2 linked regions of the Xenopus tropicalis genome follow. The protein of the gene in region 1 purifies or fractionates together with the protein of each later gene. This does not show direct contact. Links are inferred from orthologs where the notes say so. Each region holds a gene or a part of one and is shown in the gene's direction. Other genes may lie near its edges.

The links.
Region 2: the proteins of smndc1 (region 1) and sf3a3 purify together in Homo sapiens (affinity purification with mass spectrometry; 3 studies listed by BioGRID and IntAct, with this or other methods). This does not show direct contact. The link is inferred for Xenopus tropicalis from reciprocal best matches to the Homo sapiens genes SMNDC1 and SF3A3.

Annotation. Positions count from the first base shown.
Region 1 is NC_030683.2:2,912,781-2,928,819, forward strand, and holds smndc1 (survival of motor neuron-related-splicing factor 30), read left to right. Parts: upstream 1-658; 5' UTR 659-698; intron 699-2,186; coding exon 2,187-2,306; intron 2,307-3,891; coding exon 3,892-4,034; intron 4,035-4,411; coding exon 4,412-4,573; intron 4,574-9,426; coding exon 9,427-9,580; intron 9,581-10,071; coding exon 10,072-10,209; 3' UTR 10,210-11,725; downstream 11,726-16,039. UniProt on the Homo sapiens protein: Involved in spliceosome assembly.
Region 2 is NC_030678.2:83,811,358-83,827,396, reverse strand, and holds the end of sf3a3 (splicing factor 3A subunit 3), read left to right. Parts: intron 1-2,433; coding exon 2,434-2,525; intron 2,526-3,695; coding exon 3,696-3,778; intron 3,779-4,202; coding exon 4,203-4,341; intron 4,342-4,985; coding exon 4,986-5,054; intron 5,055-6,003; coding exon 6,004-6,071; intron 6,072-6,416; coding exon 6,417-6,524; intron 6,525-7,875; coding exon 7,876-7,945; intron 7,946-8,292; coding exon 8,293-8,457; intron 8,458-9,287; coding exon 9,288-9,398; intron 9,399-11,806; coding exon 11,807-11,897; intron 11,898-12,095; coding exon 12,096-12,151; intron 12,152-13,741; coding exon 13,742-13,819; 3' UTR 13,820-13,973; downstream 13,974-16,039. UniProt on the Homo sapiens protein: Component of the 17S U2 SnRNP complex of the spliceosome, a large ribonucleoprotein complex that removes introns from transcribed pre-mRNAs.

The DNA of each region.
Region 1 (16,039 bases):
AACTGCCCCACATCCCAGTAGAAAGTAACGGTACAATCACATACCCTATAGAGCAGGGGTAGAACTGCCCCACATCCCAGTAGAAAGTAACAGTACAATCACATACCCTATAGAGCAGGGGGTAGAACTGCCCCACATCCCAGTAGAAAGTAACAGTACAATCACATACCCTATAGAGCAGGGAGCAGGGGGTAGAATAGACAGGTTGAGCCTGAAACAGCAAAAAGGAATACAAAACAGAATGTCTATACTGTCCAATTGCATGCTGGGTATTGTAGTTTTATATCATTACTAGCTGTAGGCTAATTGTTACATACAAACTACATTACCCAGCATGCAGTGGGACAGGCACACTAGAGGGGAAAAAAAACTTTGGCTACTTTATAAACTACAAACCCGCCAAGGCTCCAAACAATAACCCAGAACTGTACCTTGGGCTAGTAGCCCAATTTGGCGGGAAAACCACCAACCCGACAACCCTCACACAGACTCTCTCACAGGCGGCTCTCGTATTCTTGCCCCTCCCCCTAGAGCGCAACCGACGCCACTTTGGCTTCTCCCCTGGTCGCCATGGCAACCGTCTCTGCGTGCGTAAGAGCCGGGGGCGGGGCGTCTGGGCAAGTGCGAGAGCCCGGAATTCTCGCGAGAAGAGGAGGGGCTGCCGGGAAGTGAGTGTTTGTGAGACGGAGAGCGACGCGGTGAGTGACCGGAGCGGGAAACCGGGGGATTGGGCGGCTGAGCGGCCCGGGGCTGGGTTACTGAGGGTCGGGGGGGTCGGAGTTGGCTTATAGTGTGGTGCTGGGCAGCCCCTGTCTCTATAGCGTTACCCCCGGGGCGTCCGGCCTCATGGGCCTTGTACTGTGTGTCTGAGCCCCCCCCCCCCATCCCTCCCCCCTACCGACACCCCATTGGCCACTTATGTTTGTACTCACCCCTCATTCACTCGGAACCGGGACTGGTCCTGTAGTTTGTCCCCAACCCATTCCTACTCATTCCTGTCCCTTATCCCTTCCCTCCCACTGTCTGAGGGAAACACTATGGCACCTCCTACCCATATGTATAAATACAAATATACAGAGAGGGAATGTTCTGGGCACACAATAAGCTGTACCCCCATACTGTACTGTCTAAGGGAAACACTATGGCACCCCCTACCCATATGTATAAATACAAATATACAGAGAAGGAATGTTCTGGGCACACAATAAGCTGTACCCCCATTACTGTACTGTCTAAGGGAAACACTATGGCACCTCCTACCCATATGTATAAATACAAATATACAGAGAAGGAATGTTCTGGGCACACAATAAGCTGTACCCCCATACTGTACTGTCTAAGGGAAACACTATGGCACCCCCTACCCATATGTATAAATACAAATATACAGAGAGGGAATGTTCTGGGCACACAATAAGCTGTACCCCCATACTGTACTGTCTAAGGGAAACACTATGGCACCCCTACCCATATGTATAAATACAAATATACAGAGAAGGAATGTTCTGGGCACACATAAGCTCCACCCCCATACTGTACTGTCTAAGGGAAACACTATGGCACCTCCTACCCATATGTATAAATACAAATATACAGAGAAGGAATGTTCTGGGCACACAATAAGCTGTACCCCCATACTGTACTGTCTAAGGGAAACACTATGGCACCTCCTACCCATATGTATAAATACAAATATACAGAGAGGGAATGTTCTGGGCACACAATAAGCTGTACCCCCATACTGTACTGTCTAAGGGAAACACTATGGCACCCCTACCCATATGTATAAATACAAATATACAGAGAAGGAATGTTCTGGGCACACAATAAGCTGTACCCCCATACTGTACTGTCTAAGGGAAACACTATGGCACCCCCTACCCATATGTATAAATACAAATATACAGAGAAGGAATGTTCTGGGCACACAATAAGCTGTACCCCCATACTGTACTGTCTAAGGGAAACACTATGGCACCTCCTACCCATATGTATAAATACAAATATACAGAGAAGGAATGTTCTGGGCACACAATAAGCTGTACCCTCATACTGTACTGTCTAAGGGAAACACTATGGCACCTCCTACCCATATGTATAAATACAAATATACAGAGAAGGAATTGTTTTATTCTCTAATATAAAGTGACTGTACATGACTGATTCCCGTTGCTGGTTCCTTGCAGATGGCAGAAGATTTAGCTAAGCAGCTGGCGGGTTACAAAGCCCAATTGCAACAGGTTGAATCTGCGTTAACGGCCAATGGCGAGAATGAAGATTTACTGAAACTAAAGAAAGATTTGCAGGTAATTCCCTTGTTAATAGCGTGGCCTGTGGCTTCTGTTTGCCCTGCCCGGCCAGTAAATGGGATAAAGGTCTAAGCCTTATTCTCCTCTGTTTTATTACTGCTCCCGGTGCATTTCCAGTGCACAATCCCCATTTTTATTGTCCTAAAGATCTTGTTTCCCCTTAACCCTTTGGGTGCCAGTAACATTTAGGGACACTTGTCTCTAGGCAACATGGTTTTGTCATTGCCTGTAACGTAATGCAGAAATGTATTCAGGTCTGTGGAGTCTACGTTTTGTGTCAGGAAAGCAGTTAAAGGAGAAATTAACCCTCCTAGAAGGCATATGGAACAGACCCACTGCCCTAACCAGATGCCCTGCCCAATCATACGTGACTAAATTAAAGGGGTGTGTTTGGTGGCGGCCATGTCTGCTCACAACACTGGCACAAATTGCCAACATGGAGGGTTCAAACTGGAAGCCAGTAACAGATTCACAGGAGGGGGAGGAGACTCCATGCAGGGGGCCAGATACTTACTACAAGGGTTTACTTCTCCTTTAGAACAAATCCACCATTCTGGCAGGATTTGTCCTTCAGGTCTTTATTATGGTTCTTCTTCCTCCCAAGGGCTCCAGTGCCTTTTTGTGTATTATTCAATCCTAGGAAAATTCCTTCCAAATATCTGATATATTGCCGGTCATTCTACAGGCAGCAAACTAATGCTTTATTAGATTGTAAGCTCTTGATGTACCATGTCGGTGGTAAGGAAGCAAATCTCGTCAGTTGTAGAGCTGCTTGGCACGGCTATATACAGCAGCACAGTTATTTCACTTGGAGCATAAAACTAGTACTTTACCTATTCCAGGAGTTGGATCTGTATTTGGCCAATATTTGGATTTGACTGCACCTTTATTTATGGTCATGTGGTTTTAAAGTAACCGACAGCCGGATGTCCAATCCCTTGTGGGGTGTTTGGCCAAATCCAAAATAATGGATTGTGTAGCCCTTAAAACAAGGTTTTATACCCCAGATGTTGCCCACTGAGTGTAGGCAGCTAAACTGGAGGGTCCATGTCGGCCTTCACCTCCTTGCAGTGAGGGTCTCTGACCCTGGACCTGAGCTGTGCTCCCCGCTTCCCTCCAGCAGTGGGTGCTGTTGCCATTATCCCACAGACAGAGAGGAGTCTTGGGATTTGTCCCATGTGACTAGAGAGAGTGCAGTGCACGTGGGATCATGTGATGCACCGTGTGGCAGTCAGATGCACTCAGTATTTTGCACAATTGTTATTCTTACCCCAGAAATGTGCCACCGACTTCCAAGCTTTATGCCCAATTGGCAATGATGCCCCCGTACGCTGATATCATTAGATGCACAGCTATAGCAATGCCCTGCAGCCAATCAGAAGCAGCTTACTGGTGCCAGGCCTGTGAGCCTCTGTGCCAAGGAACCAACACTGCTGTGTTCTGCTGGGCATGTAGGGAGCAATATAGGGCACCCTGTCTTGGCTTTATAAATAGATTTAAAGGGTAAGGATACCCTCGCTTACCTAACATGGAGACGGCGCCAGTATCCATGCGGAATTTCCCACTCGCTCTTGTCTTTCAGGAAGTGATAGAATTAACCAAAGACCTTCTATCCTCACAACCCTCGGAAACGGCAGATGATGCCTGCGACGACATGTCCGCCAGCGGCAGCCAATCATGGAAGGTTGGAGAGAAGTGCATGGCGGTCTGGAGCGATGATGGACAGTAAGTGCAGTGAGCTGTATATGGGTGATATGGTAAGCTTTGCTGGGGCCTTTGGTCTGGCTATCGAATGTCTACTTGCTCTGCACTCCATTCGCCCAATCCTGCAGGGACTCACTTGCTTAGTTGGGGGGGTGTTTATATTACGTGAACACCGTTTCATTGTAATGCAATTTGCCGACTCTCTGAAACGCAATTGATCTTGCTGGTGTTAAACTGCTTTGTCTTTAATACAGCATAAAGCCCCCCCCCCCCCCCCCCGTTCATTCTGTTACCCATAATAAGCCCCCCAAGCCTAGGTTTGCTTTGCAGCGTTTAACATTTCCTCGTTGCCTTGCCAAGCCTTTACTCACATGCTTACAGCCATGATATCTTTACAGGTGGTACGAGGCGGAGATCGAGGAAATAGACGAAGAGAACGGAACTGCGGCCATAACCTTCGCTGGCTATGGCAATGCCGAAGTCACGTCTCTGCTCAATCTGAGGCCGGTCGAGGAGGGGAGGAAAGCCAAGGAGGACAGCGGCAATCTGCCTATGTCAAAGTATGTTTCCATTTCAGCATAACACCTCACTTATTTGCCCCCCACCAATAACGCAAGTGTCCAATAGTGGCAGAGATTTTACATCATCAGGCTCTCGGGCCACCTTTTTAGCACTTCAAAAATATTTAGTTCTATAAAGACCTTATTTGCAATTAAATAGTATTAAACGTAAAGTACATGATAGAATGTTGTATGTTGTATAGAAGGTTCAGGTAGGTTAATAAAATCCCATCTGAAGCTGCTCTGATTTGCCGCAGAGGGGTAAAAAATTCCTTCCTGATTTCAAGATGGCAATTGGACCAGTCCCTGGGGCAACTTGTACTAAGAGCTATCTCCCATAACCCTGTATTCCCTCACTTGTACTGAGAGCTATCCCCCCTACCCCTGTATTCCCTCACTTGTACTGAGAGCTATCCCCCCTACCCCTGTATTCCCTCACTTGTACTGAGAGCTATCTCCCCTACCCCTGTATTCCCTCACTTGTACTGAGAGCTATCCCCCTACCCCTGTATTCCCTCACTTGTACTGAGAGCTATCCCCCCTACCCCTGTATTCCCTCACTTGTACTGAGAGCTATCTCCCCTACCCCCTGTATTCCCCCTCACTTGTACTGAGAGCTATCCCCTACCTGTATTCCTCACTTGTACTGAGAGCTATCCCCCTACCCCTGTATTCCCTCACTTGTACTGAGAGCTATCCCCCTACCCCTGTATTCCCTCACTTGTACTGAGAGCTATCCCCCCTACCCCTGTATTCCTCACTTGTACTGAGAGCTATCCCCCCTACCCCTGTATTCCCTCACTTGTACTGAGAGCTATCCCCCCTACCCCTGTATTCCCTCACTTGTACTGAGAGCTATCTCCCCTACCCCTGTATTCCCTCACTTTGTACTGAGAGCTATCCCCCTACCCTGTATTCCCTCACTTGTACTGGAGCTATCCCCCCTACCCCTGTATTCCCCTCACTTGTACTGAGAGCTATATCCCCCTACCCCTGTATTCCTCACTTGTACTGAGAGCTATCTCCCCTACCCTTTATTCCCTCCTTGTACTGAAGCTATCCCCCCTACCCTGTATTCCTCACTTGTACTGAGAGCTATCCCCCCTACCCCTGTATTCCCTCACTTGTACTGAGAGCTATCCCCCCTACCCCTGTATTCCTCACTTGTACTGAGAGCTATATCTCCCCTACCCCTGTATTCCCTCACTTGTACTGAGAGCTATCCCCCTACCCTGTATTCCCTCACTTGTACTGAGAGCTATCCCCCCTACCCCTGTATTCCCTCACTTGTACTGAGAGCTATTCCCCTACCCTGTATTCCCTCACTTGTACTGAGAGCTATCCCCCCTACCCCTGTATTCCCTCACTTGTACTGAGAGCTATATCTCCCCTACCCCTGTATTCCCTCACTTGTACTGAGAGCTATCTCCCCTACCCCTGTATTCCCTCACTTGTACTGAGAGCTATCCCCCTACCCCTGTATTCCTCACTTGTACTGAGAGCTATCCCCCTACCCCTGTATTCCCTCACTTGTACTGAGAGCTATCCCCCTACCCCTGTATTCCCTCACTTTACTGAGAGCTATCCCCCTACCCCTGTATTCCCTCACTTGTACTGAGAGCTATCCCCCCTACCCCTGTATTCCCTCACTTGTACTGAGAGCTATCTCCCCTACCCCTGTATTCCCTCACTTGTACTGAGAGCTATCCCCCTACCCCTGTATTCCCTCACTTGTACTGAGAGCTATCCCCCTACCCCTGTATTCCCTCACTTGTACTGAGAGCTATCCCCCCTACCCTGTATTCCCCACTGTATGAGAGCTATCCCTCCTTGTACTGAGAGCCTATCTCCCATAACCCTGTATTCCCTCACTTGTACTGAGAGCTATCCCCCCTACCCCTGTATTCCTCACTTGTACTGAGAGCTATCTCCCCTACCCCTGTATTCCCTCACTTGTACTGAGAGCTATCCCCCCTACCCCTGTATTCCCTCACTTGTACTGAGAGCATCTCCCCCTACCCCTGTATTCCCTCACTTGTACTGAGAGCTATCCCCCCTACCCCTGTATTCCCTCACTTGTACTGAGAGCTATCTCCCCTACCCCTGTATTCCCTCACTTGTACTGAGAGCTATCCCCCCCTACCCCTGTATTCCCTCACTGTACTGAGAGCTATCTCCCATACCCCTGTATTCCCTCACTTGTACTGAGAGCTATCCCCCCTACCCCTGTATTCCCTCACTTGTACTGAGAGCTATCTCCCTACCCCTGTATTCCCTCACTTGTACTGAGAGCTATCCCCCCTACCCCTGTATTCCCTCAACTTGTACTGAGAGCTATCCCCCCTACCCCTGTATTCCCTCACTTGTACTGAGAGCTATCTCCCCTACCCCTGTATTCCCTCACTTGTACTGAGAGCTATCCCCCACCCTTAACCCCCTGTTAATTCCCCCTCCTCACTTGTACTGAGAGCTATCTCCCCATACCCCTGTATTCCCTCACTTGTAACTGAGAGCTATCCCCCCTACCCCTGTATTCCCTCACTTGTACTGAGAGCTATCTCCCCTACCCCTGTATTCCCTCACTTGTACTGAGAGCTATCCCCCCTACCCCTGTATTCCCTCACTTGTACTGAGAGGCTATCTCCCCTACCCCTGTATTCCCTCACTTGTACTGAGAGCTATCTCCCTACCCCTGTATTCCCTCACTTGTACTGAGAGCTATCTCCCTACCCTGTATTCCCTCACTTGTACTGAGAGCTATCTCCCCTACCCCTGTATTCCCTCACTTGTACTGAGAGCTATCCCCCTACCCCTGTATTCCCTCACTTGTACTGAGAGCTATCCCCCCTACCCCTGTATTCCCTCACTTGTACTGAGAGCTATCTCCCATAACCCTGTATTCCTCACTTGTACTGAGAGCTATCCCCCCTACCCCTGTATTCCCTCACTTGTACGGAGAGCTATCTCCCTACCCCTGTATTCCCTCACTTGTACTGAGAGCTATCCCCCCTACCCCTGTATTCCCTCACTTGTACTGAGAGCTATCCCCCCTACCCCTGTATTCCCTCACTTGCTAAATACTTATCCAGCCCCTTCTTGAAACTATATAATGTATCTGCCAGTACAACTGGGTCAGGGAGGGAATTCCACAACTTCCCAGCCCCCCCTGTAACTCCCCTTCATTGTACCTATATAATGTATCAGCCAGTACCACTGATTCAGGGAGGGAACCCCACAACTTCACAGCTCTCACTGTAAAAAATCCTTTGCGACAATTTCATTGGAACCTCCCTTCTAAACGGAGTGGGTGCCCTTGTGTCCGTTGGAAGGCCCTACTGGTAAATAAAGTATTAGGTTATTATATGATCCCCTTATATATTTATACATAGTTATCATGTCACCTCTTAACTGCCCCTTCCCCAGTGTAAACAGACCCAACTTGGCCAGTCTTTCCCCATAACTGAGACTTTCCATACCCTTTACCAGCTTAGTTGCCCTTCTCTGGACCCTCTCTAACTCAATAATGTCCCGTTTGAGCACTGGAGACCAAAACTGAACAGCATATTCTAGATGGGGCCTTACCAGCACTCTGTAAAGGGGAAGAATAACCCCCTCCTCCCGTGAATCTATACCCCTTTTAATACAGCTCAATACCCTGTTTGCCCTTGCAGCTGCTGCCTGGCATTGCTTGCTACAGCCAAGTTTATTATCTACAAGGACTCCAAGCTCCTTCTCCATTATGGATTTGCCTAGTGCAGTCCCTTTAAGGGTATAAGTGGGGGCATATTTTTACATCCCAGGTGCATGACCTTACATTTATCCACATTAAATCTCATCTGCCACTTAGCTGCCCAGATTGCCAGTTTGTCAAGATTCTTCTGCAAGTTGCCACACCCTGGGTAGAACTGGGCTGCAGAGTTTTGTGCCATCTGCAAACACTGATACATTACCCATAATCCCCTCCCCTAAGTCATTTATGAACAAGTTAAACAAAAGTGGACCCAGTACAGAACTTACTCCCAGTAGAGAATGTGCCATTAACAACCCCCCTCTGTTGCCAGTTTTCTATCCATGTGAAAACGACTTCACTAAGACCAATAGCCCTAAGCTTAGAAAGCAGTCGTTTGTGGGGAACGGTATCAAATGCTTTGGCAAAATCCAAATAGATTATATCTACTGCCCCCCCCCACTGTCCAGCTTCTTACTTACCTCATCATAAAAAGCAATTAAATTGGTCTGACATGACCTGCCCTTCATAAAGCCATGCTGATTCCTACCCATAATGCCATTCTCCAGTACATATTTTTGTATGTGATCCCTTAACAAGCCTTCAAATAACTTGCCCACCACGGATGTCGAATTTCAGGCCTATAATTGCCCGGCTGGGATCTTACTCCCTGTATAAATATAGGAAAGACATTCGCCTTCTTCCAATCTACTATTAATATACTTAAAAAACTTTTTGGGGTTAGTTTTAGCCTCGGCCGCGATGCGCTCCTCATTTTCTATCTTTGCCTTCCGGATTGCTGTTTTACATCACTTGTTATAGTGTTTATATTCATTAAACACTGTCCCCTCTGACTTATATTTCTTAAAAGCTTTCTAGGTTTTGTCTCACCTAGTAACCCATAGCAACCAGTTAGATGTTCTTTTCAGTTAATGCTACCTGCTGATTGTTGCTAAGGGTTTTACTGAGTAGTAATATTATGACCATTAGTTATATAACCCCCGCACTGTGCAAGAAAAAAAAAGGTATTGGGCAGATGATAATTTAGACTGGGGCAGTTACTGAGTTGAGGCCCTTGTGCTGGTTGCCTAGGAACTCTCTTACCCCCTTTCATTTGGTTGGGCAGGAAAGAGATGATCGCTGCCCAGAGAGAATATAAGAAGAAGAAAGCGCTAAAGAAAGCCCAGAGAATAAAGGAGCTGGAGCAGGAGAGGGAAGACCAGAAGGTGAAATGGCAGCAGTTCAATAACAAAGCCTACTCCAAAAACAAGAAAGGCCAGGTAAGGTTCTGCCTGCCCTGTATTCCTACCTTCATATTGGGTTATGTTTATTATTGTAAGCCCTGCTGCCCTCTAGTGGTTAAATACAACTCATGGCTGGTTGGAGGATCATGGGATTGATCATAACACCTTGGCCTTGTTCTATGGCTACACTGTTCCCTCTCCTGTACCTGAGCCCACTGACTAACTTGCCTCTTTCCATTCTTACTCAGCACGTAGCTGTGTAATTGCCCCTGGGCTGCCAGTTATATGTGCCTGTGAGAATATTAACCTTTCTATTGAACTTGTGTGAGTGTTTCTTGTGTTACATCAAGGCCAGTCAGTAATGGCCACAGACCTGGGCATTTAGCTGTGTGTCCGGCTGAGAGAGAGAGGCTTTTGGCTCTCCTAGAACTTATCCTTTTATTGGCTACGGCCCAATTATCCCCTGGGCAGAGGACGTTCTGCCATTCTCGGATGTTTCCATTCTGACCCATCTGCTCTTGTTTCAGGTCAAGAGAAGTATCTTTGCCTCCCCCGAGAGTGTGACAGGGAAGGTGGGAGTGGGCACGTGTGGCATTGCAGACAAACCCATGACACAGTACCAGGATACGTCCAAATACAACGTGCGGCACCTCATGCCCCAGTGACGGCGGGACTGGCCGGACGGATTCTCTGCTGGGCTTTGCATTTTATCAATATATTTTTCTAAAACTAAATTATTGGCTGTTGTATGAGGAACATCGAGGCGGCGGTCTCCTTTCACTTTAAGAACTGTCTCCTCTGATTTCATGTCCCTCTCTCAGCCGCAAGAGTGATGGACTGGGGGTGCAAGGTGATTAATGTGCCCGATGCCCCCCACTTACAGGATGCAAATCTGTCACCTCTTTACCTGCAGCACCGATGCTCTTTGGACTCAGCGTGGGGGGGTCTGCCCTGTTTGGTCATTTGTGCCCCAGGGGTAGGGTTCTGCAGGGTCACGTACTGGCAGCATCTAATGGAGACACAGTGCACAATGGGTTAAATGATGGGGCATTTGGTGCCCAGTTAAAAGCACAAAGCTAGAGGTTGACAAACTGTTGGTCGTTCCTAGCCGCTGTTGGGATGCGGTGCTGCCTGCTAGGGTGATCGCTAGGGATTTACCTACCATAGTTACGGAAGTTGTGTGCCAGGTACCCTAGCTCTATTTAAAGCTGAACCCCCCCAGTTTAGGATTCCCACACAGACCAAAGCTTGATGCTGATTCTGGTCGCTCCGCGTAAGCTGCCATATTGGGTATTTGGGCAGCCCGTCATTCTGTATCCACTCGCTGACCCACACAGGCCAATAAATCCTCCGCCGGCCGGCCTGCCCAATATCTGGCCTAATAGATAGCAACTGAGCAGGTTTCATGTTCTTGCCCAATGGGATGTCGATGCAGGTTTAATCCACCTACAGGCCCCGCTCTATGGGTCAGCGATGGGATCAGCCCAAGGTGGCCAAACAAGTGGATCGGGCAGTGATTGGCCAATCCGCCGCCACAAGAGAAGGTTCCTGTCCGTTCCTCATACACAGTTGTAATTTGTGTAACAGTCGTAGGGCGAGCGCGTGGGCTGCGTGCCCTGTATATATATCGTTTTTGTACATAAAAGTCTCGTGGGTAACGATTGTGAGTTTGTTTTAATCCCGTGTGTAAATAGGGAATTGCCATTTTGTTACTAGAAAGCCCCTTGCAGGGGTTAAACCTTAATAGCCCTCCCACTCCATCCTCTCTCCTCCTGTGTGGTGCTAATACGCCCCCTAGAGTCCAGTAGCTCTAGCGCTTCTAATGAGAAGCTGATTGGCCGGGTTCCGTGCCTGATGTTCTGGACAATATTTAGCCGGGGCGGGAGGCTAATTTGGTAGCAGGGAACGTCCTGTGTGTTGGTTCCAGGGAAGAGCGAGTACAGAGTGTCCTGTGCAGATGCCAGCTGTGCCCCCCCTCATTGCCTGACCCGGTGCCAACGTATCCCTGCGCCTCACTGCTTCCCCCCCCCCCGGGCACTCTGGGTTTGTCTTTCTGACACCAACTGTACATTTTCCTATTGTAACTAAATGATGTTTTCTCACCTGTGGGAGGGGCAACATGGCGGGGGGTGGGGGGGGCGTGTTTTGTAAAACTGAAGAATAAAGGTTTCTTGTGCCAGACCCCCTGTATCCAATGGGCTTCTGTCCAAAAATGGTCCGAAAACCTGTGTTGTTGCCTTATTCTAGGCAGCTTACCAATATCCATTAATTTCCTTTGCACTGCTGGTTCTGACTCCTGATACAACTCCCCAATACCCATTCATTCCTCATTCTCACTGGGTTTATAGTTATGTGTCACTGTCACTGTGTCTGTCCCTTTCCCTTCTCTGCACTGCTGGTTCTGACTCCTGATACAACTCCCCAATATCCATTCATTCCTCATTCTCACTGGGTTTATAGTTATGTGTCACTGTCACTGTGTCTGTCCCTTTCCCTTCCCTGCACTGCTGGTTCTGACTCCTGATACAACTCCCCAATATCCATTCATTCCTCATTCTCACTGGGTTTATAGTTATGTGTAACTGTCACTGTGTCTGTCCCTTTCCCTTCCCTGCACTGCTGGTTCTGACTCCTGATACAACTCCCCAATACCCATTCATTCCTCATTCTCACTGGGTTTATAGTTATGTGTCACTGTCCCTTTCCCTTCCCTGCACTGCTGGTTCTGACTCCTGATACAACTTCCCAGTGGTGGGGAGACAATAGGGCAAAATTTAAGGTTTAAATGAAATAAAGTGTAAGTTCCAGCTGCTTGGGATGGACAGGGGGTGCTGGGAGTTACAGCTGAGGGGCTTTACCCCACCCACTGCCCCTGCTATAATATTGGGGTACAGCCTGTTCTGCCTGAGGTGCTGCCAGACACTTCCCTCCTCTGATGCCTTACTGGCTTGTTAAAGGGGTGGGGTCACCTTTCAGTTAACTTTTAGTATATTATAGAATGGCCAATTCTAAACGACTTTTCGATTTATTCCAGTTATCAAATGTGGGTCACTGACCCCGGCAGCTAAAACCTATTTCTCTGTGATTGTTACTTTTTATTATTTTTCATTCTATTCAGCCCCTCTCCTATAAATGTCTCTCATTCAAACCACTCCCTGGTTGCTAAGGTAATTTGGACCCTAGCAACCAGATAGCTGCTGAAACTTCAAAAAGTGAAATAATTACAAAACCACAAATAATTTGCAATTGGTCTTCATTTTTTATTATCTCAGAATATTACTCTCTACATCATACTAAAACTTAACTCAAAGGTGAACAGCCCCTTTTATGAAGTTGATCTTCTTACCCCACCATGTGAATGAATCCGCCCCCGGGGCGGCTGAGAGCCGGAGTAGCACAAACACATGCGCTGAGCCCAAAATAACCCCCGTGGGGCCGTTAAGATGAGGATTTGTGCTAATCTGGTGCCCTTAATCCACTCGGCCAAAGCCCCGCAGGCTCCTCAGCAGCCCCCGTGTCTGCCCACTAAGGCACCAAGTAACCGGCGTCTGGGGCCTGACAGTGGCATAAGGAGAAGGGATCGGCCCATCCATTTGTTCTGGGAGTTCCTGTCGTCCCTTTACTTCCACTGGGGCCTCTCTAGTCCAGAGCAGCCCCCATGGGAACAGTTGCTCCCATTCAGCCACAAGGGCATTAGTGAGGTTGGGCAGTGATGTTGGGGGTCAGGCTCACAGTCGGGGTTCCATCCCACAGGGGGTCAGTTGGGTTGCCCGTCCCCTTGCTGCTATAACTGCCCCTGCCCTTCTGGGAAGGTTCCCACTAGATGGTGGAACAGTGTTGCTGGGAGTTGCTCCCATTCAGCCACAAGGGCATTAGTGAGGTTGGGCAGTGATGTTGGGGTCAGGCTCACAGTCGGGGTTCCATCCCACAGGGGGTCAGTTGGGTCCCCCTCCCCTTGTTGCTATAACTGCCCCTGCCCTTCTGGGAAGGTTCCCACTAGATGGTGGAACAGTGTTGCTGGGAGTTGCTCCCATTCAGCCACAAGGGCATTAGTGAGGTTGGGCAGTGATGTTGGGGGTCAGGCTCACAGTCGGGGTTCCATCCCACAGGGGGTCAGTTGGGTTGCCCCTCCCCTTGCTGCTATAACTGCCCCTGCCCTTCTGGGAAGGTTCCCACTAGATGGTGGAACAGTGTTGCTGGGAGTTGCTCCCATTCAGCCACAAGGGCATTAGTGAGGTTGGGCAGTGATGTTGGGGGTCAGGCTCACAGTCGGGGTTCCATCCCACAGGGGGGCAGTTGGGTTGGGGTCAGGGCTCAGTCAGGTTCTTCCCATTCTGTACGGATCTGGCTCTGTGCATGGGGGGGATTATTGTGCTTAAACGGTAAAGGCCCCCCAAACTGTCCCACAAAGTAGGGAGCAGGGAATTGCCAGGAATGTCATTGTACCCTGTAGCCTTAAGGTTTCACCAGTACCTGGGGCCCAAACCATGGTAACAGCCCCAGCCCGTTATTCCTCCTCCTCCACCAAATGTACCCATTCAGCTCTAGAGTCCATATTAACAACGACCAATCGAATCTCTGCTTTCATTTACCCCCCCCTGTATCAGTCAGTGTGTGTAACCTGTGCCATTCTCATTTCTGATTGGTTGCTATCAGCTCAGTTTGGCCCTTATGTAATAACCTGTGATACAATACATTTCTGCCCAATGAGAGGCCCAAGACAATTTTTCTGGATCACTTTATTAGTGGTGCCGGGCGGCCCGATACAGAAATAACTACAGAACCAAATAAAATAGTGAATTCAGCAATAATAATAATAATAATAATTTAGTGTCAGAATTAAATTAGTTTCATAATTAAGTAGATAAGGCGGAGTCACATAATGCCTGTGAGTTGGATTAGGATGTGGAGGCGGAGTTTATAGCTGCCAGCCTGTGTCCCTATCTATAATTGGACTACAGTTCCCAGAAGCCACCTGGGGAAATACCATCCCAGCAGCTCTATCAGGGGGAGCCGAGGATTCTGGGATGTGGTTTGTAACAGATTAAAGGGGAACTCCACCCAAACAAACAGTGCAGCAGCCGGGCACTCTAGGTGTTCGTGCCAGATGATTGGCCCGTGCCACAGCAGCTCTGCCACACTGTGTGCCATCCCCCCAGATACCCGGGGGCCCCGGACGTCGCACAGGTGAATGCACCTTTATTACAGTTACATTGGCTTTCAATATGAAAAAAAGCAATGTTTTGGGTGAACTTCCCCTTTAGTGGAATGTCCCCTTTAGATTTGCCCTTAAGCAGAAAGTGAGGCCTATGGGCCCCAGGAAATGGGGCGATACCTTACCCAGAATGTACCCTTCCTGCCGGAGCTGCCATAGAGTTTAGTAGCAGAATCCAGGCACGAGCACTAGAGGGTGCTGCACCCACCCATGGGTGTCACTGCCCCTGCACAGACAGGGAATTACATGTTTTGACTTGCCCTTTAGCCGCAAGATGCCCCGCCCCCTCCGAGTCTTGCTGCTTGAGCTGGGGAATAGTTAATGGGGGCAAACTCTAATCACCCCCACTCTGGGTTGGAAAGGGTTTATGGGGGAGGCAGGGGCCACAGAGGAAATAACCAATCACCGCGCCTGCGCAGAGGCACCGGTGTGCGTCCAGCCTTGGATGCCCATTGGATGGCAAAGCTCTAATAGTACAAGCTGGGAGGGGCAAGCTGTGCCCCGCCCCCACAGAGTAAAAACTGCTCTCACTGCCCCGTAGGGGGCAGCGGAACGCACCGACCATTAGACAACTTACAAAGTTGAACATAAACTTGTCTAGAAGACAGTCCCACGTACGTGGCCAGGTAAGTACACCTGAGGGGCCCGCCCACTTACTGCACCTAGTGAGGGGCGGAGCCTTGCAACTCAATGCTCCCTTTCATAGTGTAGGGCTTTGTGTCCCAAGCCTGCCCGCCAGTAACGCAGGGCAGGGGATTCTGGGAAGGCAGAGGGTGGAGCCACTGTATCACATGACCAAGAAAACAATAAATTAAACACAAAGAAGAAAGGAAACGGGGATCCAAGGCACCAATTGTCACCGCGGTGATGTCATCGTGATGTCACTACTTATATATTATTCCATCTTCTCACATTAAAAATATTCTCTTTTATCTGCAAAAATAATTTAAGGGAGTGCTACGGGGAGACCCGGAAGAACCGCCGCGCCCCGGGTTCTGGAAGTCCATCCGGAAGGATTAGCAGCCGTGGGGGTATTTGTGCATTTACTGCCACCGGACTACAGCCCCCAGCATGCCCCAAAGAGCTGCATGATGGGACGGCCCAGCTTAGAGATCCACCCAGTTAGATCGGAACCTGAAGGAACCCAATAAGATCCCAGGGACAAACGAATCTGTATAAAGACACAGTTCAAGGGAGGCTTGTGATTGGTCCACAGAGCGTGGAAGCCATTTTGGTTTAGCTGCCACTCGTGGGTTGGGCCTGAGGGGCAGAACCAGGCT
Region 2 (16,039 bases), on another chromosome or scaffold:
TAAAGAAAATAAGAAGAGAGGGCATCAGCACCATCCTGGTGGCCCCCTACTGGCCACGCCGACCATGGTTCACAGACGTGATAGAACTCTCCGCAGACGAACCGCTCCCCCTTCCAGCCAGGGAGGATCTCCTGACGCAGGGTCCATGCGTCCACCCGAATTTACAGTCGCTGGCTTTAACGGCGTGGCTCTTGAGGCCCTAGTTTTAGCCAGGACAGGAGTGCCACGCGAAGCCATACCAACCATGCTGCGAGCAAGAAAGGCAGTCTCAGCCCGCATTTACCACAGGATTTGGAAAGCATTCATCACGTGGTGTGAGACCAACAGCAGGGACCCACAGGTCCTGGAAGAGGGCAACCTTCTAATATTCCTTCAGGAGGGACTCCACAAAGGGCTCGCCCTCAGCTCCTTGAAGGTACAGGTGTCAGCACTGTCCGTACTTTACCAACAACAGCTGGCCTTACGACCGAACATAAGAACCTTCCTACAGGGTGCCCTGCGGATCGCCCCTCCGTACAGACACCCCATCCCACCATGGGACCTAAATCTGGTGCTGTCGGCACTACAGGAGGATCCATTCGAACCTCTGGACTCCATCCCTCTTTCAACACTGACAGCCAAGACCGTTTTTCTACTGGCAATCACATCGGCCAGAAGAGTGTCGGAACTTTCAGCCCTGTCTCACAAGTCCCCGTTCACCATCTTCCATGCTGACAAGGTGGTCTTGCGACCAACACCGGAATTCCTGCCGAAGGTGGTTTCGGAATTCCACCTTAACCAAGACCTTGTGGTACCTTCCCTATGCCCTAATCCCAAAAGCCATCAGGAGGAGAAACTTCACACCCTAGACGTGGTACGCTCGCTTAGGACTTACATAGAGGCAACGAAAAAGGTTAGAAAGGTGGACACCCTCTTCATTATACCGGAAGGCCCCAGAAAGGGTCTAAAGGCCTCCAAGACCACCTTAGCAAAATGGATTAGGGCTACCATCCTTAGAGGATACGCAACCAGAGGAAGACCACCACCCTTCCAGGTCCGGGCTCATTCTACACGATCATTAAGCACTTCGTGGGCCATGAGAAATCAGGCCTCCGCTGAACAGGTATGCAGGGCTGCGGTGTGGTCTTCCTTACATACTTTCTCGAAGTTCTACAAGATTCACACATACTCCTCTGCCGAAGCTAGCTTCGGGAGGAAGGTGTTAGACAGTTATTCCTTGAACCACCAAGAGTTCATTGGATGTCCCACCCTCATGGGAATCTTTGGGACGTCCCCATGGTGCCTGTGTTCCCCAATGTAGGCAAGAGAAAGAGAGATTTTTGTACTTACCGTTAAATCTTTTTCTCTTGTCCTACGATTGGGGAACACAGGCCTTCCCTCCCTATGTTAATACGAGTTACTACAGTTCAAGGGTTACAGTTTTGAGTTATATCCAGTTAATCATTCTGGTTGGGGGTCTCCCGGGGGAGCTCCTTCTCCTAAGAGTGGGTTACAATTCTCGGCTAGGTCCTTTTCCTTCCTTCTTCGGTAAAAAACAAACTGGCAAGTAGAGGAAGTAGGCGGGGGACGAAGCCCTGAGCAGGAGGAGGAGCTACTTTAACCTTTTAGTGTCCATTCTCCAAGCTGCAGGATCTTCATCCCCATGGTGCCTGTGTTCCCCAATCGTAGGACAAGAGAAAAAGATTTAACGGTAAGTACAAAAATCTCTCTTTCAATTCAGAACTTCTTAGATGTCACTGCACTTTTCACATTCCCCCTCTTTCCTTACCATCTAATTTTGTAACCAGTGCATGGATATAGGTATCAGCCCCCCCCCCCATTCTGGCACATACACAAGATTTTGGCAGGATGCACAGCTTGCTTTAATAACAGTGTCCACAAAATGGAGCCTGCCTGTTTTCTGCAATGATGAATTCCAGTGGTGAAGGAAATAAGTTTCAAAAAATGTATGTAGTGTAATTCAAGTTTATTTTGCTTGACAAACACAATATAAAACAATTTGTAATTATTTCTTAGGGTGACAGGTCCCCTTTAAGCTTGATGAAGACTTTATTCTCAATATGTAATGCCTAACATTTAAAAAGAAAATGTTATAATAGCGAGGGAGAAAATGACTGTTTCAGGCAGTCTAAAAGAGTCTTGGTGAACAGAAATCATATAATAAAAAATGTGTGTTAAATTAAAGTTTGTCTTTTATTTAAGTTTTTGGGACCTTTTGGGCTCCTACCACCAATGTTCCCTCTAATTCCTTCTTGGATGTGTGTAAAAAAAATATTTTGCACACATATTTTAAACCTGTGTGCACATCTTTTTAAAACTGAATATTCTGGTAAGAGTAAATACAAAATTTTGTGTTTTTGCACAGAATTCTTAGTGCGCACCACACAGCTTTAGAGTAGGGGTCACTGACCTTCTTCTTTGTGTACCACACAGATTTGGTGGAATTTACAGATGAAGAGGGCTATGGCAGATATATGGATCTCCATGACTGCTACCTGAAATATATTAACCTCAAATCTTCAGAGGTAAGAATTCAATGCAAATCACTTTTCTGCATTTCGCAACAAAATACTTAAGTAATAGTCTGTATATAAAAATGCGCCATTCTTAGGATATAATTTTTGCTTTACTTGTACCATGACTTTATAAGATTGTTCTTGGCCTAAAATGATATATTTGTTTGAGAACAACGTGACTGAATGAAAACGGCTTGATATACTTTTTAGTCAATGACTGCATTAACATACTACCTTTCATCAACCCCACTCCCTTGAACTATTTGTTCACATCTATTCTGTATGACACACCACATAAAACTGGTGATGAAGATGAATAGTACTAGATCATTCAGTGCAATGCTACTTTAACAAACATACACTGTTATGCGATTCAGTTACGTGTAGTAAGTGTATTGTTGAATATTCAGTGTATGTGTTCCCTGTGTATTAGATGTTGGTGCACTAGTCATTTTTTTTCCATTGTATTCTGTGTTTGGAAATGGCCCTGATGCTATTCTAATATATAGGGAAAGTTGTGCTCACCAATTTTATAAACCATTAGGCAGGGGTGTAATGATGCTGTGACCAAAACATTCATACTGACAAAAACAAAAGGTCCACTGCACTTACCAATTTTATATATATTATAACATTCTGCTAATTAAGCTACTGAAAAAAAGCCCTGCCCTTTAGACAACAGGGATTGTTTTTCCATATGTTGCAATATATTTCAAGCTGGCCAACTATGGCCAACAAAATTCATTTAGACAAAAACAAAAGGTCCCCTGCACTAACCTATTATCAATATATAGGACATTAAGATTAAGACATTCTGTGCATTAAGCTACCAAGAAATATATGGAATCTTTCCATACTTTGGTTCACCACACCAAGTCTGTTAAAAACATAATTTAAACATTAAATAAAGGCAATAGAATTGTTTTGCCACCAGTAAGGATTAATTATCTTACCATCAAGTATAATGCACTGTTTAATTATTACAGAGAGAAAGGAAATCATGTTTAAAAATTAGACTCCATTATAAAAAAAATTGTGTGTGTGATGGACTTCCTGTATTTCAAAACTTTCTGGATCCCATACTTGTGTGTATGTATATATGATATAGCTTGTTTGCATGCTGTATATAGCAAAATTTGTATTGTGTTTTATGTTTGTTTGTTTGTTTTCTTTCTTCAGAAATTAGATTATATCACATACCTTGCAACCTTTGACCAGCTTTTTGACATTCCAAAAGAGAGGAAAAATGCAGAATACAAAAGGTTTGTACTTAAAAATAAGTGATAATGTGTATCTATTGGTCAAAATACATTCTAGCCTATACTGGTGTAAACCTAAACTTCTTAGAAAGACATACACATTTAAATAGTAGCTATACCTAAAATATATCTAAAATACTCATTATCGGTGGGTTAATGGGTCTGACAACATTTAGATCTGTCTGTATATTTTATAAGTTTACAAAATAGTTGTTAGGGATGCAACTTTGCATTGAGTTCTGGTCACAAGGTTTTTGAAAAACATATAATATTAGAGCTTTGAGAACAGGGTTGATTTCTTCCAACAAGCTCATGTTACATGGATTTCAAAATGTTGTATTCACTGCAGCTTGGAAATTTGTACTTTTGCTCCAATTCTTTTATCTATATAATAGACTAAATCCCTGTTGCCACAATTACTCCACAGGTATTTGGAAGTACTTCTTGAATATCTTCAAGACTATACAGATCGGGTGAAGCCTTTACAGGATCAGAATGAGCTCTTTGGGAAAATACAGATTGAGTTTGAGAAGAAGTGGGAGGCTGGTGCATTTCCTGGCTGGCCGGTAAACTTGTCATTGTAGTGCCATAGTAGTGTTTAAAAAAAAAATTGCTAATTTTATAGTGTATATTTTGTAAAGTAACCTCCAATTTTCATGAATCGACCTTGGGGTGGAGGTTCTTATAGACCTAGACCCTTAGTTCAAAATTAGGTAATATTAAAGGGGATGTCCACCCAAAATTGTTTTGTGTTATTAAAAAAAAAAAAAAATATCTCTAACTCTTATATACATTTATTGAAAGTTTGTCAGTGGCTTTAAGGTTATTTGTAAATGTAATGTATTATTTATTTAACCAGTAGCTGTATTTAATTTCTGAACTGCTGGTTATGACTCTTGAATCAAAATAGCAAAAAAGATTTGTATTTAATGTGAAATAGGAATTACATTTTTCTTGCCATTTATGGGTGAATAATTATTTGCTTGAATGTTTTACGCACTGTATCTAGGTTAAAGTAACAAGCATATTTTCATCAAGCTGTAATATTAACAGAAGCTTAAGCAAATGTTATACATAAAATATGAGGGAATAACCCCAAGTCTGAGCACATGAGTGTGCATATATTCTAGATGTTATTAATATACAGGAGTATTTCTATGTTAAAAATATAAGAAGAGCCTTGTGGTAATGATAATGTTGCTGTTTTTAGAAAGAGACAAGCAGCGCACTCACTCATGCTGGCGCTCACCTGGACCTGTCAGCCTTCTCTTCTTGGGAGGTAAGTATTTGAAAGCCCTCTCATCTTTCCCACAATATTAAAGAGAATGGGTGTAGAGAAACATCCATAGTGAAGATTTGTGGAATATCTCTATGACGTGTACAATTTTTTTTCAGTTGGTTTCTAGCAGCAAAAACAATTACACTGCTTGTAAAAACACTATTATGGATTTTTTTGTAGATGGCATTTTACTTGCTGAAGTCTGCAAACAATGTATTTTCAACCTTGTGCTATTTTTAGGGATGTGTTTATTTCAACACAAATCGTTGTAGTAGTTTAAGCATGGAGACATTACTTCTGATGTTAAAATGTGTGGAGACATCAGCCCTTGTCTTTTATTATGGAAGAATAAGTCATTAACTGCTTTGTGAGGAATTTTCACTTATACTTCAAATAATGGTGTACTAGCTAGTAGCTAGAGGGTTGTATCTCCAAAGCATTGTTTTTATAAAGGAAATATAAGATGTTTCATAGGATATGTGTATAAAACATTTTTACAGGTGCGTATTTAAAGGAAAAGTAACACAAAATTTTCAAGTAAAAAATCTATTCTACCCTGCCCCAATAATCGAGCCTAGCCTGACTCCTTCCTATACAGAAGGAAGGCTAGGATCGATCAATCAATTGTCGCATAGTGGATTCTTCCCTGCATCTCCGTATCTCCCTATTTCAAATGACTGGAAGCCAAGTTTTAGCAGATATTTTATAATAAATTCAAAATAATAAATGGTGTGCAGGATAAGGTAATTATTGGGGCAGGGTAGAATAGATTTTTTTACTTAAAGGAAAGGTAACACTAAATTTTTTTTAAGACATTTTAATTAACATGAGCTTTTTACAGCAGACACAGATCTCTTTTTTTGGGAGAAGATGTTCATAATTGGGTTTTTGTAGCTTTATCCAAGTCATATTGCAACAAACTTGTTTGAAATTATTTTTCTTGTTGCAGGAGTTGGCCTCTCTTGGTCTTGACAGATTAAAATCTGCACTGATGGCTTTAGGCCTTAAATGTGGAGGGTAAGTGAGCTTGCAGTTATAGATAATGCAGACAGAATTTTTTTCTGCTGTAGCATAAACATATTGGTGTTGACTTTCACGTTTAAATAAATTGAATTTATATTGCATGTGCATTCAGTAGATTGTTTGCCTTTGATTCCTGTTGTATAACAAAATGGCGGTTTGCCATTTTAGTATCACACAATGCATTATATTGTTTAAATATGTAAGTGAACATGTATCAAATTGTTTTGCATTCACAGTTTAAAATAAAAGGGCATAACTTAAAACAGATTCTCTATATAATCATAAAGACTTATGTTAAGTCTACGTTTAAGGAGTTTATTTATTGTTCTGTCTTTCTAGGACATTGGAAGAAAGAGCACAAAGACTTTTCAGCACAAAAGGCAAATCTTTGGAGTCTCTGGATCCATCTTTGTTTGCAAAAAATCCTAAAGCGAAAGGAACTCGCAGGTAAGGGGGCCAATAAATGATTGTACTCCACTGCAGTCAGATTGCAGCTGTTTTAAAACAATTATGTATAAATGTAGTTTGCAGTTCTACTCTCATGATGTCTTCAGTGAGAGCTGAAACCTCATTTTTAGCTTTGTGTTTACAATCTGTTGATGATGAGAGGATAAAAGAGGGATCATGGAGCAGAGAAGGCCATTTAGTAAGGTGTGTAAATGATAGTACATTTTTTTTTTTTTATCTTTATATGGAAGGGGAAGAGGAAGCGGGATTGTAACTCTCACGACCTGTCGTCTGGTTATTTAGTTCACCTAGAAGAGAAGCTTCTGCCCACCATTTAGTGTATTGGAAGAGGGCTAGTACTTTATGCTGTTTTCGGCTGTTCGATGTATCTTAAGTATTTATTCCAGACATGGTAGAAATGTTAGCCTTTCTTGGAGTGCTAAGACCCATTGAAGTTGCATTGTGTATAGTAGTTTGCGTTCCCACAGTTGTTTTGAAGGAGGTTATGTGGTCATTCAGCATTCTAGGATAGAATTATTGCTTTCAAGACCAGTATTTCTGCTAGTCATAAAGATCAACAGTCAAAAGATAACCTTTTTTTGCTGCTGTCTGTGCATTTAGGGTATAACCCTAGTAGTATCTGTGGATTTGTATGAGAAATGGGGATATTGCACAGTGTGCTTACTTGTGTTAAGACATTTCCCCCAAAAGGCATCTAATGCGGTACAAGGCCACAAAACTTATTACGTAGGTTGTAATGTATCATTGGTTTTATGATGGTAGAAACCCCCTGATGCAAAGAGGAGTCACCCTTTATTAACCCTTATTAGTATATCTAGGGGGTTATGAGACAGTTGTGGTTTTATACTTTGTCACCAAATTTACATAGCCTTTAATCTTTAGCTATGCAAAGATATTATTGGGGAGTCACTGTTTTGTTTGCAGTTCTAAGAATGTATAAGGATTTAGTAATAATCCTACCATTGCCTTTTGCGATTCCACAGATCAAATTGGGAATCTGTTTCCCCTCTTTGAAATCGAGGGTTGTTAAATAGTAGAAAAAGTGACTGTTTATAGGTACAGAAAAGTTGTATTCGCTTCAACCGTGTAGCAGGGAATGTCGTAAGTATAATAGGGGAGATCTTTGGTGTGAAATATTGATCTCTTTGGGTGAATGACACAGGTACATACACAAACATGCAATTTGCAGCTATACGTATAAGACTTGCTAAGTTGTACTATTTGAGCAGTGGTAAGTGATTTCAGTAGGCATTACTTACAATTAGAGGATAATATATGCATTTCATTGCACAGTAATCTGTTTAATAAAATGTTGCATTTTTTCATACAGAGACACAGAGAAAAACAAAGACATTGCATTCCTTGAAGCTCAGGTGTATGAATATGTTGAAATTCTAGGGGTAAGTAACCATAATGAATAATACTGTATGTACAATGATCCTTAGATTCTTGCACACAGTATTGTCTGTGTCTATTTCCAAGCTCCCCTCTAAATCCAAGTTGTTTGTTTTGTTGGCTTGTTTTTCGACTGCCTGGTGATCAGTGCTATTTATTTAACTGTTTGGCCTATGTAGTCAGAAAAGTTTTTCCATAAAATAGAATGAAATTAAAAAGAGGTAAAATGGACACTTGCCTTATCAAAAGTAATTTTCAAAATGGGGGAGACTTATTTATCAATGTTGATTTAGGCTTAAACTTTTGCTGTTATTTATTAGTCTATAACCATGCATACTTTCTTGGTTTTCAGGAACAGAGACATCTGACCCATGAGAATGTACAGCGTAAACAAGCCCGTACAGGTGAGGAGAGGGAAGAAGAAGAAGAAGAACAGATCAGTGAGAGTGAGAGTGATGATGAGGATAATGAGATTATTTACAACCCTAAAAACCTTCCTCTTGGATGGGATGGCAAGGTAAGCATGGTGTTAAGGGTGACCATGTTATGCAACTTAGATTGCATTGGGCAAAGGGTCTCTTTGTACATATTCATATTTTTATGTCCTGTGGTCCTTTTTTTTTGTTTTTTTTGAGGGGGGGGTGAGTTTTGTAACCTGAAAGGTTTCCAGTATGAGCGACCTACCAATTTTTATTAATAGTTCGTTTGATGCCTAGGTGACCTTAATCCATATGTTTGGAACAGGAGTAGGGATAGGTACATCTGACTGAAAAAAGGAAATACAACATTAAAACTCTTTGATGGATTTGGATTTGAACCGCTATATTTGTTTTATCCAAGGCATTTCCTATAGATACTGCTGAAACTGCCACACTAGTCATTTAAAAAAAAGAAAAACCTAGAAAAGAATGTAATTAGAATGCATTTGTAAAAATAAAATTAGATTAGTTAGATGTTGAAAAAAATGTTAGATTAGATGTTAGATTAAAATTGTTACATTACCCTTACCTTGGATTTTGCCAGTTGCACCAATTTGTTGGCCTTACTTGTTACTGTACACTTATGGAAATGCAGTGCAAAAGTAGTCCATATGGGTGGAGTTGGCTGAGTTGCAGTTAGTCAGGCATGGACTTGGGGGAAGTTAACACAGTTCAAACATGTTTTTAATCTGTGCCCATGTTCTGCCAGCAGGCCATAATTCTGTCCTCCACAATAGAAAAGAATACTACCTGCAGATTTAGCATTAGAGATAGCTGGGTAGCTAGCACTGTGTAATGTTTATTTTACAGTATTAAAAAAAAGAAATTGACTCAAGTAGTTGTTGCTCATATATTCATATTTTTGCAGCCTATACCTTATTGGTTATACAAGCTACATGGCCTGAATATCAACTACAACTGTGAGATTTGCGGAAACTTCACCTACAGAGGGCCCAAAGCTTTCCAGAGGCATTTTGCGGTGAGGTGTTTTTTTTTTTTTTTTTTTTTTTTCTGCGTGTTAGTGGTTGTTACAAAACTGTATAGATTGTTTATTACTATGTACCTCACATGTGGGATGACTGCCGCTTCTATATAGTACTCGTCACAGGTTTGCAGTGTAAAGGCTTTCTAAAACATAGGGCATTTACATGCCTCAGTTATATATATTGTAAGCTCTACGGGGCAGGGACCTCCATCCTCTTGTGTCTTTAACTCTCTTTAACTTATTGCAACTGTATTTATCTTGTATTTATCTGTATATGTTATACTTTGTATTTATCTATTATTATCTTAATAATCCCCTGTTTGTATTAATGTATTCTACTGTACAGCGCTGCGTACATAAGTAGCTCTTTATAAATAAAGATATACATACATACATACACATAGCACTGCTTTATAACCAAAAATAGTTACCCCTCACTTAATGAATTGTGGGAGGAGATTACTCAATGACTTTGTGGCCAACTATGCATCCAGGGCTGCTTTAATAAGATAGAAACAGGCTGTCTACAATTTGGATATATGTCTCTAAATTATTAGGCTCTATCTATGTTATTAAAGCAGCATTAACTAAGCTGCACTCCATATGGATGTCAGAAATGCTGTTGGGTTTTATTCCATGTGTAAAAGCTAGTTAAGGCAGCGATCCTCAACCACTTATGTTTGAATTCCTGGCTTGGAGGCACATTTTTGATGCATAAAAACCTGGTGTACTGCCAATCAGAGCCTTCACATAGGGGTTGATACATAGATAATAGTCTTTATTTGGCACCCCAGGAACTTTTTTATGCTTGTCTTGCTCTTTACATTTGAATGTTGCTCACGGGTAAAAAAAGTTGGTGAACCTCTGCTTTAAGGAATGGTGATGCAAACTAAAGAAAGACCCCTTAGCCAGAAAATTATAAACGTTTTAAGAACATTGTTATGCTACCGTTACAGAAGTGCGCTTATTAACATTTCAGATTAAAATTATCCTTTTTTTTTTATTTCCTTTCCACTTTTTTCCCATCTTTTTTATATTTGCTCTCTCCCAGCTAAACTTTTCACTTTCCCTATTCTCTTCTGTTCTCCATGTAGCTTTCTCAGTTCTTACTTCTATTCCGTTCCCCCTCTTCCCATTCTTTGTCTTGCCACTATCTTCTTGTTTTTGCTGCTTTCGTTATGCTCTCTTTCATCTCTCGTTATCTGCTCTCCACAAGCACTATTCTGTCCTCTTCTTTATTCCCCACAGCATAATTAATATTTGAGGTGCCAGCAAGTAAATCTCTGTTTTGACAACAAGATAGTGTAACATATAAGCAAAAAGTCCCACATCAATTTGTTAAGTTTCATAATTGTATTTTTGCAGCTCACTGGTTTGTGATAGATTTAACAATCTTGGCATGGCAGTAAAAAATTACTTGCTGGAAATGCAAGTTTGGTTGCTGGAAGAATTTACTGCTGTGCCTATATGGAGGGACAGCTGAGTGCCACTATTTCACATCTTGTCTAAGGGATGACACTGTCTGTTAACACTTAGATGTATTTTTGTGATCTCTCCTTATTTGGAACAGTAATAACATTTTAAATTAAGTTTCTAGGTAAGCATAAAACACGTTAGGCTATTCATGTGGGGTTGTTAATGTTTTTAATGGATTGAAATAAATATTTTTTTATGATTTTTGAGTGGTACAGAACTTTATAATGGGTATTGAAACTAGACTAAAACATGTGTTTTTAGACACAGCTGTATTCTGATCACCTTAACTGTAAAGGTTGTTTTTCTATAAACTACAAAAAAGCCTTTTTACTGCTAATCAGAAAGTAATCTAAAGCATTGAAATTAAAATACTGAATACTGAAATTCATGCTATCTATGTATAAAAACATTTGTTTAATATGAGCATGCTTTTCCATGCAAAACCAATTAGTACTGCAAAATTTGTTTCCCTTTTGAGCAGAAAGTGATTGTTAAACAGAAAACCTCTGTATATATGTCACAAAAATTGTATGTGACAACCCATAGCTTATTTCTTTATTAAAAAGAAGACAGAATGAAATTGCTATTGGACATTAAACACTTCAGTAAAGTACAGGATAACAACCTGTTTGATGGCTTATTCATAGCTGGTTCCTAGGAAATGCATGTAGGATAAGATGGAGTCATTACAGAGATGCTGTACATTATATTATATTTTAACCAGAAGAAAGCGGCATTCAAGCAGCATATTGTCAGTTGAACTACACCACCTACCATTGTTTTTTATAAGATAAAATTAGTTCAGCTCTAGTTGGAGGCCTATAAATCCATTTCATGGCATGGTGAAATGCAGCATTTTGTACTTTTTTTTCCCTTCCTGTGTCTGACCCAGTACTGACTGACTTATGTTTTCTTTCAATCCATAGGAATGGCGTCATGCTCATGGCATGAGATGTCTTGGCATTCCAAACACTGCACACTTTGCTAATGTAACACAGATTGAGGATGCTGTGTCCTGTAAGTAAAGCTTTTTCTCATGAATTCAGTCTAGCACATATTTCATTTCATCAGTCACCTATCTTACCAATTGTTGCTCTCTGGAATTTTGCAGTTATTAATTGTATTAAACATTAGAGAACTAACCTATAATTATAACTAACCTATTAATGAGCAATTTTGCATATATTACATACTTGTCTATTCATTCACTTATAGTGTGGTCAAAGCTGAAGCATCAGAAGGCCTCTGAAAGATGGCAGCCTGATACAGAGGTGAGTCCTTACTGTATTAACACTGGCTTAAACTTAGACCTCTATAATTTGCAGGATGGTAAAGTAGCCATTTCACTTGCTAATGAATTAAAAATTAAGTTGTAAATGTGTTAAGTAAGGTAAGTGGTAATGTTTTCTGCTTTTAGTTCATTTTAGTTTGTAATTTCAGAAAGTCATTTACTGCAAATCAAGACTACTGGGATTTATCAAAGTGCATACAATTCCTCCTGAGCATATAACCAGATATGTCATGGTTATTGTATGCAGATGTGCAAAACCTGTTGTTTTCCGCAGTCATGGATACCTAACACAATAAATAGAAACCAAAAAAAAAAATACTTAAACATTGTTGGGCCCATATCATATTTGATGTCCTTATGAAAAGTGCTTTGCAGTTTTGTTTTTAAACGTATCCAGTTTTCATAGAAATATTTGCAGGGGTAATTGCAGTTCCAAACAGGGGTAATTTACCTTTAAAATAACTTTTTGTAGGCTTTAGACCAGTGATGCGCAACCAGTGGCTCAGGGGCAACATGTTGCTCACCAACCCCTTGGATGTTGCTCTCTGTGCCCCCAAACCAGGTAGTTATTTTTGAATGCCTGACTTAACAAGATTTACTACCAAATAAAGCCTCCTGTAAGCTGATAGTGTGCATAGAGGCTGCCTAATAGCCAATCTTAGCCCTTATTTGGCACCTCCATGAACTTCTATACTGCTTGTGTTGCTCTACAAGTCTTTTTACATTTGACTCTGGCTCATGAGTAAAAAAGTTTGGGGGACCCCTCAGTGATGTTCTGAGACAATTTGCAATTGGTCTGAATAATTTTTCTTACTCTTCTTACTTACTTTTCTTACAGCAGCTATCTAGTTTCTGTGGTCCCAATTTTGTGAGATTAAATATAAACCTTTAGGCTAAAGTCCCACGGGGGGAATCGGTGGTGGAAAGGCCTATGCATCATTTTGTTTTTCCAAAGTCACACACAGTTTCCTCCTGCAGGCAAAACGGGGAAAAAGGGAGCAATGCGTAGGCCTTTCAACCGCCGATTCCCTTTATTGCTAGTGGAAAGGCTTTTTGGGGACATTAGTCACCCACGGTAGCAGAGATTTATTTTGAGCTGCAGCAAAAATAGCTATATAGTGTTTTTCTTTGATGTAGTGACTACCTATCCCCAAGTAACTATGTGCCACTTGTGGTACAGGTATAGGATCCATTATCTAGAATGCTTGGGACCTAGGGTATTCCAGATAAACTGTGTTTCCATAATTTTTAACACTATAACTTAAGTCTATTAAAAAAATCATTAAACACATTAATTAAACCCAATAGGATTATTTTGCATCCAATAAGGAATAATGATATCTTAGATGGGCTCATGTAAAAGGTTCTGCTTTATTACAGAAAAAAAGGAAATCAGTTTTAAGTATAATGCGCTTGTATTTTTCTGGTAAAATCTTATTTTTCATGACATGCTTTATATACCTACAGTTATTCACTGCCGGATTTCCTTATGTACATGTTTTATATGTATGAGACAATGAAACACACTGTGCCTCTATTGAACAGTGTTTTTTTTTCTGTACTTGAATAGGAGGAATACGAAGATTCCAGTGGGAATGTTGTAAATAAGAAGACCTACGAAGATTTAAAGCGTCAAGGACTTCTGTAACCATGGACATTTTGTTTCTAACTGCCCTGTTATGGTTCTGGATTTTCATGTTTGTTAATGTGACATTTCTATTTGCAAAGCTGTTGAACGTTTCATCTTTTACAAAATGCAAATTTTTTTTTTTTAATTAAAAATGTGCAAAATTTTCAATGCATTAGGCCAGTTTGTTTATATCGTTTCATATTTTGTAATCCTGCTCCATTGATTCATATTAGATGTAGTGACTGGGAAGAAAATAAGGGAATCCAAGATTCTTAGTGATATTTATTTAGAGAACCATGGTCTAATATTTGATTTACTGAATTCTGGACCTGGTCAATTCTGGATATGGTCAAGAACAAGTATTTGCCATTGCATTATACATTTCGCTAAAATCTTCACTAGCATCGGGCAGCCATTCCATTGTTTGGTGGACTTATTTATCTGGTGGTGCACATTTTCCTCTGCAGGGTTTCAGCCTATCCAATTTCATGGTTGGGCAGCCAGCAGTTAGGCAAACCTGAGAGGGAACCTCCACCTCTGTGTCTGTGAAGGCAGATCTTTGATTGGCTACCCACATCCTACTGTGCTTCTGTGGCAGGAGTCCACCTCTTATTTGTAAGAAACCATTTAAGCTTATGTTTAAACCAGGAGCCATATTTATATTGCCTACATAGTTATGGGTATTTAAACAAACATCCTACTTTAAAGGCTTTCATTTGTTACATATTTTTAAAATAAACAGATCATTTTTTTTTGTCAAATAAAAGGTTTTGCTCATTAGCAGCCTTGTTCTTCATCCATTCTAAAGTTACTTTTGGACCAACACAGTCCCATAGGAATGAATGCAGAGTGGGGAGAATTATACGGAGATGTAACGCTTTGATAAATCTGCCCCTAAGTATAGTTGCTTTTCTCTTGAACAACTCATAGGGGGGAATTCACAAAAGTGGTGATATTGAGACAAAATAAAAGTGGAGATAGATTTGTGGGATTTTCCACCTAATTCACAAACCTCTATCTCCACTTTTGTGAATTTGTCTTTTAAGCAGACTGTTTTCAAATTTTGTCATTTTCCCGACATTTTTTTATGAATTTGCCGTTAGCTCTTAGTAAATTTGTTGGTGCCATCAAACCCAGTCCCAAATCTACATGAGCCTTGGAATAAGGATTTTACCAGCAGGATTTTGCATTTCATATGCCATTTCACTTTGGGGGCATTTCCTGAGGGATGATTTTAGTTTGCACAAGGAAACTATACATAATTTTTTTCAGGACAATCATTTTTTTCTATATTTCTGTGTAATTCCACTTCAGTAACAAGATTTAAGGGTCTAAATACCTTATTCTCTAGCCCCTACTCATTACTGGGCAGCAGCAATCCGGCCCACACACCAACATGCCCGGTGAATAGAGCTCCAACAGGACTAGGGCCCACTGGGTTTTTATCCAGTGCGCTGTTGGGCCAGTCCAACCTTGTACCCCAATATCCCAGTTTGGGATGTTTGCATGTGTTGTTTGCTGATCACCAAGATGACTGCTGGGAACAGGTTGGGACCAATGCTGTCAAGCAGCTCTGTAGTTCTGGACATGCTATGGGGGCACAGATAAGTTGCGGAAAGTGTCAGTGAAGTGATTAAAGAGGGTGCACTGCTGCTTCTAAAACTTTACTTTTCCTTTTAATAAAAATGTTTACAATATATTATTCTAGGGTTAGACAGAAACTTGTCCCCTAACAATAAGATGCTAATCCCCACTAATATGTTAACAATCCCCCAATGGGGCCCCTACCTTAGGTGTGAAATGGAGACTGGGGGAAACAAAACATAACAGAAGAGCTTAGAATTGGTCTGACAGAGTTACACTGAGCTTTACTCCATTTTGAAAATGTCGGGAAAAATGTTGTTAAAATGTCATATAAATGTCATTTAAACGACAAATTCACAAAAGTGTCTGTAAACTGTCTTTCTTTCACTAAAAACGGAAAAGTGGTGGTTGAGTCGGAATTTAGGCGGATTTCAGTTTGTGAATCTGGAGAAAGTGTTTTCCACCAGTTTTTCCACCACTTTTACTCCAAAAAAGGGCTACCTCCACTTTTGTAAAAAAAAAAAAAAAACCCATAGTCTCAAAACCAATCAAACAGAGGTGTAAACAAAGGTGTAAAGTAATGTGTGGTTTGGTTTTTTGCACCCCTTTTTTTTTTTTTTTTTTTTGTAAACGAGCCCTGGAGTCGCAACGCAT